3 linked regions of the Drosophila melanogaster genome follow. The protein of the gene in region 3 interacts with the protein of the main gene of each other region in a pairwise test. Each region holds a gene or a part of one and is shown on either strand. Other genes may lie near its edges.

What was found. Proteins that work in one complex are often made in the same cells at the same time.
Region 1: the proteins of Drsl4 (region 3) and CG42263 interact in a two-hybrid assay, tested with the Drosophila melanogaster proteins (one large-scale study listed by BioGRID).
Region 2: the proteins of Drsl4 (region 3) and GABA-B-R1 interact in a two-hybrid assay, tested with the Drosophila melanogaster proteins (one large-scale study listed by BioGRID).

The regions. Positions count from the first base shown.
Region 1 is NT_037436.4:19,953,995-19,957,762, reverse strand, and holds CG42263 (uncharacterized protein), read left to right. Parts: upstream 1-1,963; 5' UTR 1,964-2,010; coding exon 2,011-2,155; intron 2,156-2,215; coding exon 2,216-2,310; intron 2,311-2,359; coding exon 2,360-2,516; intron 2,517-2,571; coding exon 2,572-2,663; 3' UTR 2,664-3,216; downstream 3,217-3,768. Other genes in the region: CG42654 (uncharacterized protein), read left to right, coding at 3,253-3,373, 3,436-3,471, 3,532-3,617, 3,669-3,768.
Region 2 is NT_033779.5:15,014,332-15,019,382, forward strand, and holds the start of GABA-B-R1 (metabotropic GABA-B receptor subtype 1), read left to right. Parts: upstream 1-1,999; 5' UTR 2,000-3,065; intron 3,066-5,051.
Region 3 is NT_037436.4:3,313,842-3,316,450, forward strand, and holds Drsl4 (Drosomycin-like 4), read left to right. Parts: upstream 1-1,778; 5' UTR 1,779-1,795; coding exon 1,796-2,011; 3' UTR 2,012-2,101; downstream 2,102-2,609. Other genes in the region: Drsl2 (Drosomycin-like 2), read left to right, coding at 534-746; Drsl3 (Drosomycin-like 3), read left to right, coding at 1,193-1,408.

The sequences.
Region 1 (3,768 bases), about 17 Mb from region 3:
GGAGTACCATACATTTAAAATAAATAATAGAAATAGATATTAATAACGAACAATAAAACTAATAATAAGCAATATAAAAGAAGAGCAAACGATAAACTCGATTTCCTCGACTAGCAGATACCCTTTACTAAGATAGCGGGAGTGCGAGGGAGAAATTTCACAATATGTTTGCCATAATAATATAAGTTGGTGAGAAACAATTAGTTCAATAATACAATAATAAAATACAATACATTTATTTATATTGTACATTTTTAAATTGCGGCAATGAAAGATTTTTCGCTTATACGAACGGACAGATAAACGGACAAAGCCAGATCGACTCGGCTAGTGATCCTAATCAAGAATATATTCCATTCAACCTGTTAAATAGTAAATACACTATCAACGAATATTCTTCTACTTTTAAATTAACGAACCAGGTGAATTTTGCTGTGGATCAAATAATTGGAACAGCAATTTCAAAAAACAATTCGTTTTTGGGTGTTTGAAACCTATTTCGAAGGTACACAGAAAAATCGAATGATTGCATTTTTATTTAAAATTATACCAAAATATAAAATTACATCTGTATGCCTTTATTTATTTTCTTTTATTTTTATACGGACTTCGCAATAATATGGCTAATTCCGTTTGATATTTAATGACCAGGATGGTAATGATTTTTTTTTTCTAAGTGCAGGGAGCTCAGTGGGGACGGTACGCTTTGTGGCGTGAATGGCGCCATCAAGAGGCAGCCAGGCGGTGCTCAACTGGCAGCTGAATAAACAGCATCAACAACAAGTGCAGGGAATGGGAGTGGGCTGGGATGGGGTTCTGGGGGTATGGACGGATGGTTGGATGGGGATGGGGATGGGGATGGGGATGGGACCAATGCTGAATACCGTCTCATCGACACTTTTTCATTGAATTCAATTAAAAGCGAAATTGAAAATTGAAATTCAATTAAGATGCTATAAATACGGCAGGGATGGGGTGCAAGGGTGTCAAGCGGGGCAGAGAGTATACAGGATACTGTGGAAGCATTCCGGGATAGAAAGGACTCGTGGCAATGATGATAGATGAGCTGCCAGTGGCTGCTGGAAGTGGATGAAAGAGATTCCATCGATCTGTGTATTGGCTGGGAGCTTCGAGCGGTGCTTATGATATGTGACATGTCCTTTTTTTGAACTTACTCTACTTTCTGTTTTTTTTTTTTCTTTCTCCCTGACATTTAATGGGGCATCAACACCAACATGTTGGTATTGATGACAAATAAATTGATGCTGCAATCAATCAAAAATAAATCAACCATATGGTGCACCAAGATAATCAAGTCTGGGAAACAATACACTAATCTGATTAGGCTCATTAGTAAACCACCATCTAATATTGTCTTATTAGGCTTCGTCTTCACATTTCCATGAAATATTGCCCTTGAGCCACCCAATCAATTCTTGTTTGGTAATAACATCTTTTTTAATTTATGGAATTTAAGCCCAATGCATTCCCTTTGCAACATATTTTGTCACTGTTTGAACTAAATTTAAATTAGTGAACTTTTGCCAACACAAATCCTCTTTAACACTTCAAGTAAGTCCATGATGCGAGCTATCTTTAATAATCCCAAACCCCAAGCCTCGGAAATCACCCCCTATTTTCCAGTCTATTGAAAACATAATTTTTAGACGGCTGCTGCTTTCAATTAACGCATTAGGCAAGGAAAAGGCAGCAGTTTCACTTTGCTCAGGGGATAATAATGAAGAAAAAAATAGAGACCAAGGGACTTTGTCTAACTTTTCCGAAAGGCTAAAGTTTCCGTGGGAGGTCGAGGTCGTTCGAAACTTTGTTGAAAATGACAGAAGACTGCAGTGACCTAAAACCAGAGGAGATGCAGCAATTCAGTTTCGCCAGCTGATGGAAAGAAAGTTGAAGTTTATGGAGTTTAAAAGTTGAAAGCGGTTGGCATTATTTGTCAAACATGGAACTGTATTTTCTAAAATTTATAGCAACGTATTTTTCCTATTTTTGATGCCATTTTTAAGAAAGCTGGTCAGACAAGAATTTTGCTTTTGCATCTCGCTGACTTCTGGATGCATCATAGTTTCATTCTACACACTGTTTTTCGGATTCCTTAACGCAGGCACTACTGTGGATGAGGTTATATACAAGAACAGTGAGTTGGAAAAGTAAGGAAACCTGAATTTTAAGAACAGCATCTAAACCCAAATACCAGCACTCAAGACTGATGTTTATGCGAAATGGTTCAATGTATTTCATATAGCTCTGATGATCGCAGCTGCAGTTATCCTGCTGATATCTGTTATGACGGTAAGAAAATCACTTCCAATATTTTTAATTCTAATAAAATTCCTTTTAGAAGTACTTAAGGATCGTTTTCGTGTGGATGGCCATGTTCATCATTCATATGATATCGTACTACATCATCTTCAATGCTTTGATAAATGTTCGCAATCCGTTCTTTAAAAGTGCTGTCTCTGCGATTATTTATGTTTTCGTGAATTTAGTGACGTTGGGTAAACATATATATTAAAAATCTCTATTCTCGTAAGTTATGCTCCAGCTTTTCAGGAATCGATTTATTTTGTTTGCTCAAAGTCTACACGTATTATTATGTAAAAGCGCATCCAGATGAATTCAGACCAGTTTGTGTGGATAAATGAGAGGATGTCCTTAAAAATTAAATTGAGATCAGCGAAATTGATTTTTAAGATGATGAAAAGCAATAGCATTTCGTGCTCTTTACCCCATGCTCATCAAGTGAGAGGATGATGCTTTTACTGTGCTAATATGGCAGACTCAATTTTCTTTATAATTTCATTAGCATCTTGATGAGAACTGAAAACGATTCCACGCGTGCCTGACAAACACGACACACATCGGGCTGGAAATTCTAGGCTAATGCTAATGAGGCCATAATACAGATTGCTTAAGTTGTAATTATGCAAAAAAGTTAATACCACAATAAAGAAGATATGGCGGAAAATGTGAAGGCAATTTCGTTTAAATTTGGCGCCATCATCTGGGCGAGCTAAACATGAGTATTTGCTTAAAAGTTTTGCAATGTACATAAATTACGTATACGACTTGTGGTTCATAAACAAATCTTGTACATTGAAATTAACAAAGAATTGTTTTGATAATTTAAAATATACGTATAATTTTTTAACATTCAGGCTTAAAAGAAATTCTAAAAATAAAAATATTTTGCAGAATATCTTATTTGCATTTCCTGTCAAAACGTCTGAAATTATGATTCTGGCTAAAAAATTTTGCTTCTGTATATCCTTGCAAATGGGATGTATACTGATTGCATTGGCTGGAATTTTTTTGGCTGGCATGAACATTGACTATATGCTCCTTTGTTTAAATAGTAAATATATATTCACATTGGCATTAGTATTATTTTTTGCATTAAATTTAATGTTTTGATAGGAACCTATTTCAGAGAAATGCAGCACAAATTCCCAGGTAATTTAGTGACTAAGCAGTTCCAATGATTCCATTTGATAATCTAGTTTTATTACCCAGAACAAGCTCTCTACACTGTGATACAAATGTCTCCCGATTTGTTAACTATCTTGGCATCGTTCATGCTAATATTTGCAGTCTTATCGGTATGTATATAATATAATTAAAGATGGTTTTTACAAAATATATGTATTTAGCAATATGGTTGGCTGTTTTGGACAACTCTATTCTTTCAAGCATTTCAGGCAGTCTTCTTTCTTATTTTCAGTTTAGCTTCAGCACTTATGGGTTCGAATT
Region 2 (5,051 bases), on a different chromosome or scaffold from region 3:
ACAGTGGGGCATCTACATTGCCAACTTGGGGCCGAATGTTGGCTCAGTAATTACATTTAATTCTATGGCTTGGCAAGGGTTTTGCTTGCGAATTCTATGCAGACTCATTGAATTCAAATGTCATGCCAATATGAAAGGGTTGTCAAGCAGTTACTTCCGTAATCTTATGCTTATTTAAATATACTATTCTTTAAAAAACTTATAATTTCATTTTAACAGAATATATTTATATATTTACAATAAAACATTATGCATTTTTTCTCTTTTCATGGAAATCCATAACAAGCCACAATCTTTTCAATTAACATTATCACACTATTTCATGTTGATTGCTGATTGCAGCTGTGCCTGCAAATGTTTTAAATCGCCCATTCAATAATAACTTTCATTTTATTGAATAGTTTTAGGAGATTACCATAACATAAAATAAACGTTCTATTCAAAGCAAATTCGCTAAATATTTCACTGAAAACATTTATAATTTTATGTAATTAAAACGTGAATTTAGAGTGAACTAGAAATCAAAATCAGAGTTCAAAATAATAGCTGGCCTATGCCAAAATAACATTGGAATACAGAAAATTCATAAATAAATCATCAATTTATCAATGCATAACAATTGCGCAATGTTAATTTTCAAACTGCTGTTTACCAATTTGCTCTTGAGTGGATTTGGTTTAATTAGTGCCGTTTCTGCTCTAACTGTCTATGAAATCAATTCAAATATCTAAACAATAAGTGCGTTCTGTAACCTATACGGCAGTGCAAATATAGGCCATAACCCATGCCCTCGTATTCACACATCTGAAAGTTATTTAATCCGCTCAGCAATTTCGATTGCCATTTATTCACTGGCAGAGTTCAAGACAAGTGCATTTCAGCATACCCGAATTCCACATGCGGACATAAATATTTGAGTAATTGATTTCCCAAGTCGACGATGGGAAAACTTCCAATTTCTTGGCTTGACTACTTTTGGGCCAATGCAAATGGTTTATTTTTGACCGCAGAATCCTTCGACTTGAGCGGACAGTTGAGGTTCTCGAACTAATTGCAAAATTGTCAATGATTTATTCAGTTGGCAATTAAGGTGCCAACTAACGGTGTGGCTGGCACGGCTATATCGATTTGAAAATATTCAATAATCCCGGAGCCTTGATAAGCTCATCAAACATGCACATGGCCATCAGCAGGGGGGGGCAAGTTTGTATTTAGAGCCAAGTGTGTTTGGTGAAGGGGGGTTAGCTGTATATTTCAGGGTTTCCCCTTTTTTTGTCGAGCGGTTTGGGGGGGGGTTTTGCGAGGGGACACAAAAGTACAAGTTGCTATGGATCAAGCTCAAGGCGTGGCAGTTGGGCATTAGCTCTATGGTGGAGCACGGCAACCAAGCGAACAAAGGTCAACTCGACAAGTGAGTTAAATGACAAGGACCTCACCTTGCCTTCCTTGGGCTTCGGCTTTGGCTTTGGCCCGTGCGTGTTTGCATGTTTGGCTCGATGAGGCGACGCGACCCCAAAAATGAAACTCAACTTTGGCTTTGACTGCGGCTCGGGATTGTGGCGTGCAAGCATTATGGCCTTTCGCTTTCAAAACAATGCCCCCATCCTGTTTCCCGGTTGGCCTAGTGGCACTTGCTCCTTGTTGTTGGTTTTTCGCATTGCCCTTGGCCAATTGCGAGTGAATTTTGATGTTTTGACTGGCCATTCCTGGGGCCATTTGACAACTCTATAAAACCGGTGTCCTTAAGCCCGCCCTCGTCCTTGCGCCCAACCCCCAATTACCGTCCAACTACCACCCACCTACACCCCGCTACACCCACCCACAAAGTAAACGTAATTGCCCGGAGAGTTTCGCGACTTTCGACTTGGCCAGCAAACTGAAAAAGCGAAACTTCAAAAAACCCGACTTGACTTGGCAACTGGAAAAGTGGAAAAGCGGAAGCACGAGCTTTCCCACCGAAAAGCTCTCGTGCTCTAAGCTTTCGTCCTGGCGAGGCGAAAACGTAAATGTCAGTCATGGAGTTCCAGTCGTCGGATACATGTGGAACACAACGAACACAGCAGGAGCCTCTCGCGTCTCATCCCCCGAATACAATGCGAAAAAGTCTGTACAAAAAATAGACAAATAAGGAGCAGGAGCGAAAACACCACTCTGTGCATAAGATATAACTCCCGCAGAACTGAATACCTGCAAAAAGAAATACGCGTTAAATGGAATTACGGTGCGGGAATTGATAAAGTGAAGTGTGTTACAGCTAGAAAGCAAGTGAAATAAAACGAATACATTAATAATTCATGCCCCTCATAGTCAGAAGCTTACTAGTTTGATAAGGAATTCAACGTAAATCTGATATAGTAATGTAGAAAAGTTGTACAAAGTAATATACATAGCATATAGCATATAGCACAGTTACACAGAACACACCGCAAACTCAAACAAAGTTGACAAAAAAAAAGCTCACGCCCCTCACATCTCAGTTTTTTCTCGAATTATTTGTGAAAGTGCAACAAACATATATAAAAAATAAAAAAGAAAAGGGAGGAGAGAGCACAGCAAAAAAAGGCAGTGACAGCAGGACCTGCAAAGGAATTGCCATCATTTGGGGATTACGGAATTATCGGGATCCGTTCTCATTAAAATGGATTTAAGGCAATGCCGATGTGCTGAGCTGCATTTGTGCATGGGATTATCGATTGTAATGCGCAGTCATCAAATTATGTTTGAACAACGCCGCCGCGACAGCGATAATAGCAACAATAACAACAACAACAACAACCAAATCAACAACAAACACTGATTTGGCCCCTGACCCCCTTTGGCAGCACCCCCTCCATCCAACACCCCCTACGACCCTGCCCAAGCAAAAGGAGCAGCGAAAAAGAAGAAGCGTCTTATGAAACAATTGAAGCACCGGCCAAAGGAGCAAAGGAGCAGACAAAGACAGAGACAAAAACATCGGCAAAGGATAAAACGGAGGCCGAGAAGAAGAGGAAGCAGTAGTAGCAAAGCAGGAAACAACAACAACAACAACCGCAACATCGCATTTTTAAACGGCAATACGCAAAGTAAGTGAAGTGTAAAGTGAGCGAGATGGCAATAGAAAGGTGTAGAGTGCCGCGAAGAGAGGCGGAGAGAATACACTTGCAAAAATGTGAGCAGCTAATTCCCAGGGATGTTAAAAAAAATTAAACCCTCATGGTTCAAAGATTCTAGGAGATGGACAAGTGATGAATGGTCAGTGGAAATATATGTATGTTTTAAGCCAAGTGAAATCAAAATGATTTGAGAAGTACAAATAAAAGAAAGAAAGGAAAGAATGATATATGATATTTATTGGTTGTAGTACAGGAAAATAATAGTTAAAATGATATCCCGGATTGATGGTCATTACAATGATCGTACCACAAAACTCTTTCTAACTCAAATTAAATTGTTAAAATTATTTTTCAATACAAATTTGATATATTTTTGTTTTTTCGCCGACAAGATGCATAGATCTTTCATAGAATCTGAAATCTATATCTTTTTTATATTGCTTTTGAGAAGAGTAAACCGATCATCATCTACGATCACTCCTTTTTGTTCTGTGTAGGTATGAAGAGAGCAGGTGGGAAGGCAGTGAAGTGAAGTGAAGCATTTGTCGCATTTGTGCAGAATTCCCGACGTAATTAATGTTTAAAGTCTGTGTGTGTGTATGTGTGCGAAGGTTTGTAAACTAGGTCACTAGGAAGTTAGCCCCTTGACGACCATCCCCTCTCATCAGCGCCTCTTCAGCGGCAACTCTACGTCAAAGGTGTCAACTCGCCAAATCTGCAACCACACCTTAGTTAAGTGAGCCACCCCGTAGCCACCAAAATTATCCACAGCACCACCACCTTTTATTCGTCCTTAACACACCGCCATGATTAACGCGCCTCAGTGCGATTAACTGGCAAACAAATTTGGAGTGACGCTGCGGCGATGTACATACATACATATATGTATGCATGTTTGTGCTAAACCGACAGCATTTCCATTCAATAACACACGCGGCTCGTATGCAAACACTGTAAAAAGGTTTTATGCTAAAAAAGACGCCGTATTTGTGCATGAAAAACTGTCATTCATCATCCAACCAACACAAATAACCGGTAATGGCATCGCCACATTATGGCTTTGTATTTTTTACATCCTCAAACACAAAAAAACTTTAGTTGATTTCTGACTTGCATCGCATTCATCACCCACTAAAGTCGAGCAATCAATCCTCAAAATACGTATACGCACTGTTAGTTCAGTTGATTAATAGGCTAATTATGAAGGAAACTGAAAGGAAACACTAAATCAATAAATCCTGGCAAATTAGCATCAGTATATATTTGTGTTAGTGCAAACATTTAAGTTTTCTATCAATTTTAAATACAAATATGTTCAGAATTAAGATATATTTCAAAGGGAACTATGCTTTGTTTAATTAAGATTTAAGGTTTTATAACTATAAAAGCCTTCAAAATGTGCCATCTATTTTATATTCACTTACAAGCAGATTTCAATCAAGACCACTCTTTAATATGATATATTATGTCTAGAACAACCGAGAAGGCACTCTTAAATTAAATATTTTAGTACCGTAATAAATTATGAAACGTGCTGACGGTAAAATATATAATACAATTCATACTTTAAGTTATATTTTTTTTTTGCCCTATATGGTTTTACGTATCGGTGTGTATGTGAGTACCTCGCACACGCAGGACATAGAGATAAAAAGGCTTCTCCCACATAAAAGTTCTATTCTGTTTTTTTTTTTTTATAGAAAAATATTGCTGGCAGGAGTTTAGAACATTGCCAAAGGGGATGCGGACAGATGAAGGGGCGGGGGCGTGGCGGGTAAAAGCCATAAAACTCAGGCGCCGAAGCGCAAAATGCCCTTGCCCTGAACAAAAAGAAGAAATTGAACAGCAACAACCAACAACAAAAACAAAGAAGAACAAGAGCAAATAAAATACAAACTGCTTATTTATTTATTTGTTTCGACAAATCTCAATTGAAACAAAGCTTAAAAGCTTCGA
Region 3 (2,609 bases):
ATGTTTTTACCACAACCGAGAACCTAGTTTCTATTTAATTTTAATCGTATCGAACTTTATAATGACTATACATTTAATGCAAACATCATGTATTATTTTATGATCTGCATTAATTTTCAGATGTATATGTTTGTAAATAAACGCCAAACATAATTAGACCAAGCGAACTAACTGTATACAATTTGATAAAATGCCTCTTTGGAGTCGAAATTTTCGATACAATCAGGGGTCACTGGTACTTCCTGATTCCCTGATTCATTTTATCGATTGCAGCAATGGGCAAGATTGCGAGCTCTGCCTCGAGTTTCTTGGAAGCTTATCGAATTCAGATAGGAGCACATGTGTGACATCAAAGTTGAGGCACCTAGCCACTGAGCAAATGCATCACAAAAGATTTTGAAACGTGCTAAAAAAGATTATTGGAAATGCATGGAGGTGGTGTAGTCCTATATAAGCGTCCCCACAAGCTGTCGATACCAAACGTCTTCGAGAACTCAAGTAAAGTACCAGACTCGTTCGGAACATCAGTTGCAATGGTGCAGATCAAATTCCTTTTCGTCTTCCTGGCTGTGATGACAATTGTTGTCCTGGCCGCCAATATGGCTGATGCCGATTGCCTTTCCGGCAAATACAAGGGTCCCTGCGCCGTCTGGGACAACGAGATGTGCCGACGTATTTGCAAGGAGGAGGGACATATCAGTGGCCACTGCAGTCCCAGCCTGAAGTGCTGGTGCGAAGGATGCTGAATCCATACTATATCCATTTGAAATGTGTATATTGAATATTTCATTCTAAACAAATAATATATAAATATAAAGGCCTCTTACGCTTATCACTCATACGCACTGTTGTCTTTTAATTTCCTGTATGGCAATGTGTTAGGAGAAGTGAATGTTTACATACATCATTAAATCGAAAAGATAGCAATTCTAGGTAAATAACTTATTATGATAACGATGCATTTTTAAATCAATGAAGTTGACACATGGCACACATAAATCAAGTGTTTCTGGAAAACTAGGATTATATCGGTTATTGTTAGCTTGAATTTCCGAGAAGCTTATCGATTGCTACGATCAAATAAAAAATCTTAAAATCTGTATCTCTATATAAGCGTCCCCACGAGTGGTCGATGCCAAAAGTCTTTAAGAACTCAAGTAAAATTCCCGACTCGTTGAAAACATCAGTTGTCATGGTGCAGATGATATTCCTGTTTGCTATCCTTGCTGTAATGACCATTGTCCTAATGGAGGCCAACACTGTTTTGGCACGTGATTGCCTATCTGGAACTTTCGGAGGTCCTTGCTGGGCCTGGAGTGGAGAAAAGTGCCGCCGTCTCTGCATTGAGGAGGGACATGTCAGTGGACACTGCAGTGGCGCAATGAAGTGCTGGTGCGAAGGATGCTAGATCCACTGCAGTTCAAAAGTGCATGCTGTTTTTTTGTTTATTCTGAGCCAATAATAAATATACTGTACACCGCACAGTAAAAGGCACGTAAGCATTGCCTTTCAGGAGTTATCTCTTGATTTGATTTAATATGTATGTGGTAAGTATATTAAACAAAAAGGTGCATCAACATCAAGAAGGTATAGCAATTCTATCATCCCAAAATAGCGATGCGCGTTTTGTCGCGTAAAAGGCCCAAAAGTATGCCTTTCGAAAGTTATATTGCAGTTATTTGCATTTTCACCTTTATGCTAATCGGTTAATATACAAATTCTGTACCTATATAAGAGTGCAGTCGGACTCAAGAAACTCAAAAGTAAAGATTTTAACCAGAAGAACATTCTAATAATGGCTCAAATTAAAGGATTGTTTGCTCTCCTCGCTGTGGTGACCATTGTCCTAATGGTGGCCAACTCGGCTTCGGCCGTGGATTGCCCATCTGGAAGATTCAGTGGTCCTTGCTGGGCCTGGGATGGAGAGCAGTGCCGTCGCCTCTGCAGGGAGGAAGGACGTGTCAGTGGACACTGCAGTGCCAGTCTGAAGTGCTGGTGCGAACAATGCTGAGGATCCTCATCGTCCAATATGTTTGACACATATGTGTGTCATATGTTTTTTATTGTTTTGAAAAGAAAAATAAAGAATATACTTCACAGCAAATAATACAGTTTTATTTCTACTTAAAGAACGAATCCTTTTAAAATCATAAATTTACTTCGAAAATGAGATTTATAATGGAATGGAAGAAATAATTAAATGATAAATAATCAGAGTTAACTTCAATAGAAAGCTAAAATTCATTTAGAAAGAAGTGGAATATATAATTCAACTCATAATAAGCATTTAAGAAAAAAAAAGCATAGACTATTTCAGTCTTAACAAGAGTTGGAAAGGCCATTTTCATTTATGAACACAAATCTTCATTTACCAGCACCCATATCACTTTATGGGAAATAAAGATAATCTTGTCATGTTAATATTTCCAACAAATTATCAACCGTGTTACATCGAAAAGTGCAAGTTTGGTGTTTGAATCCGGTTCTGGGTTTTCCTAACAAACTCGACAGTTTTACAATTTATGAATAAATTTAATTAATGAAACTGGTTTAATTAGTTTCCTAGAAGTCTCGTGATAAATGGCACATTGCATAAAATCAATGTCGGC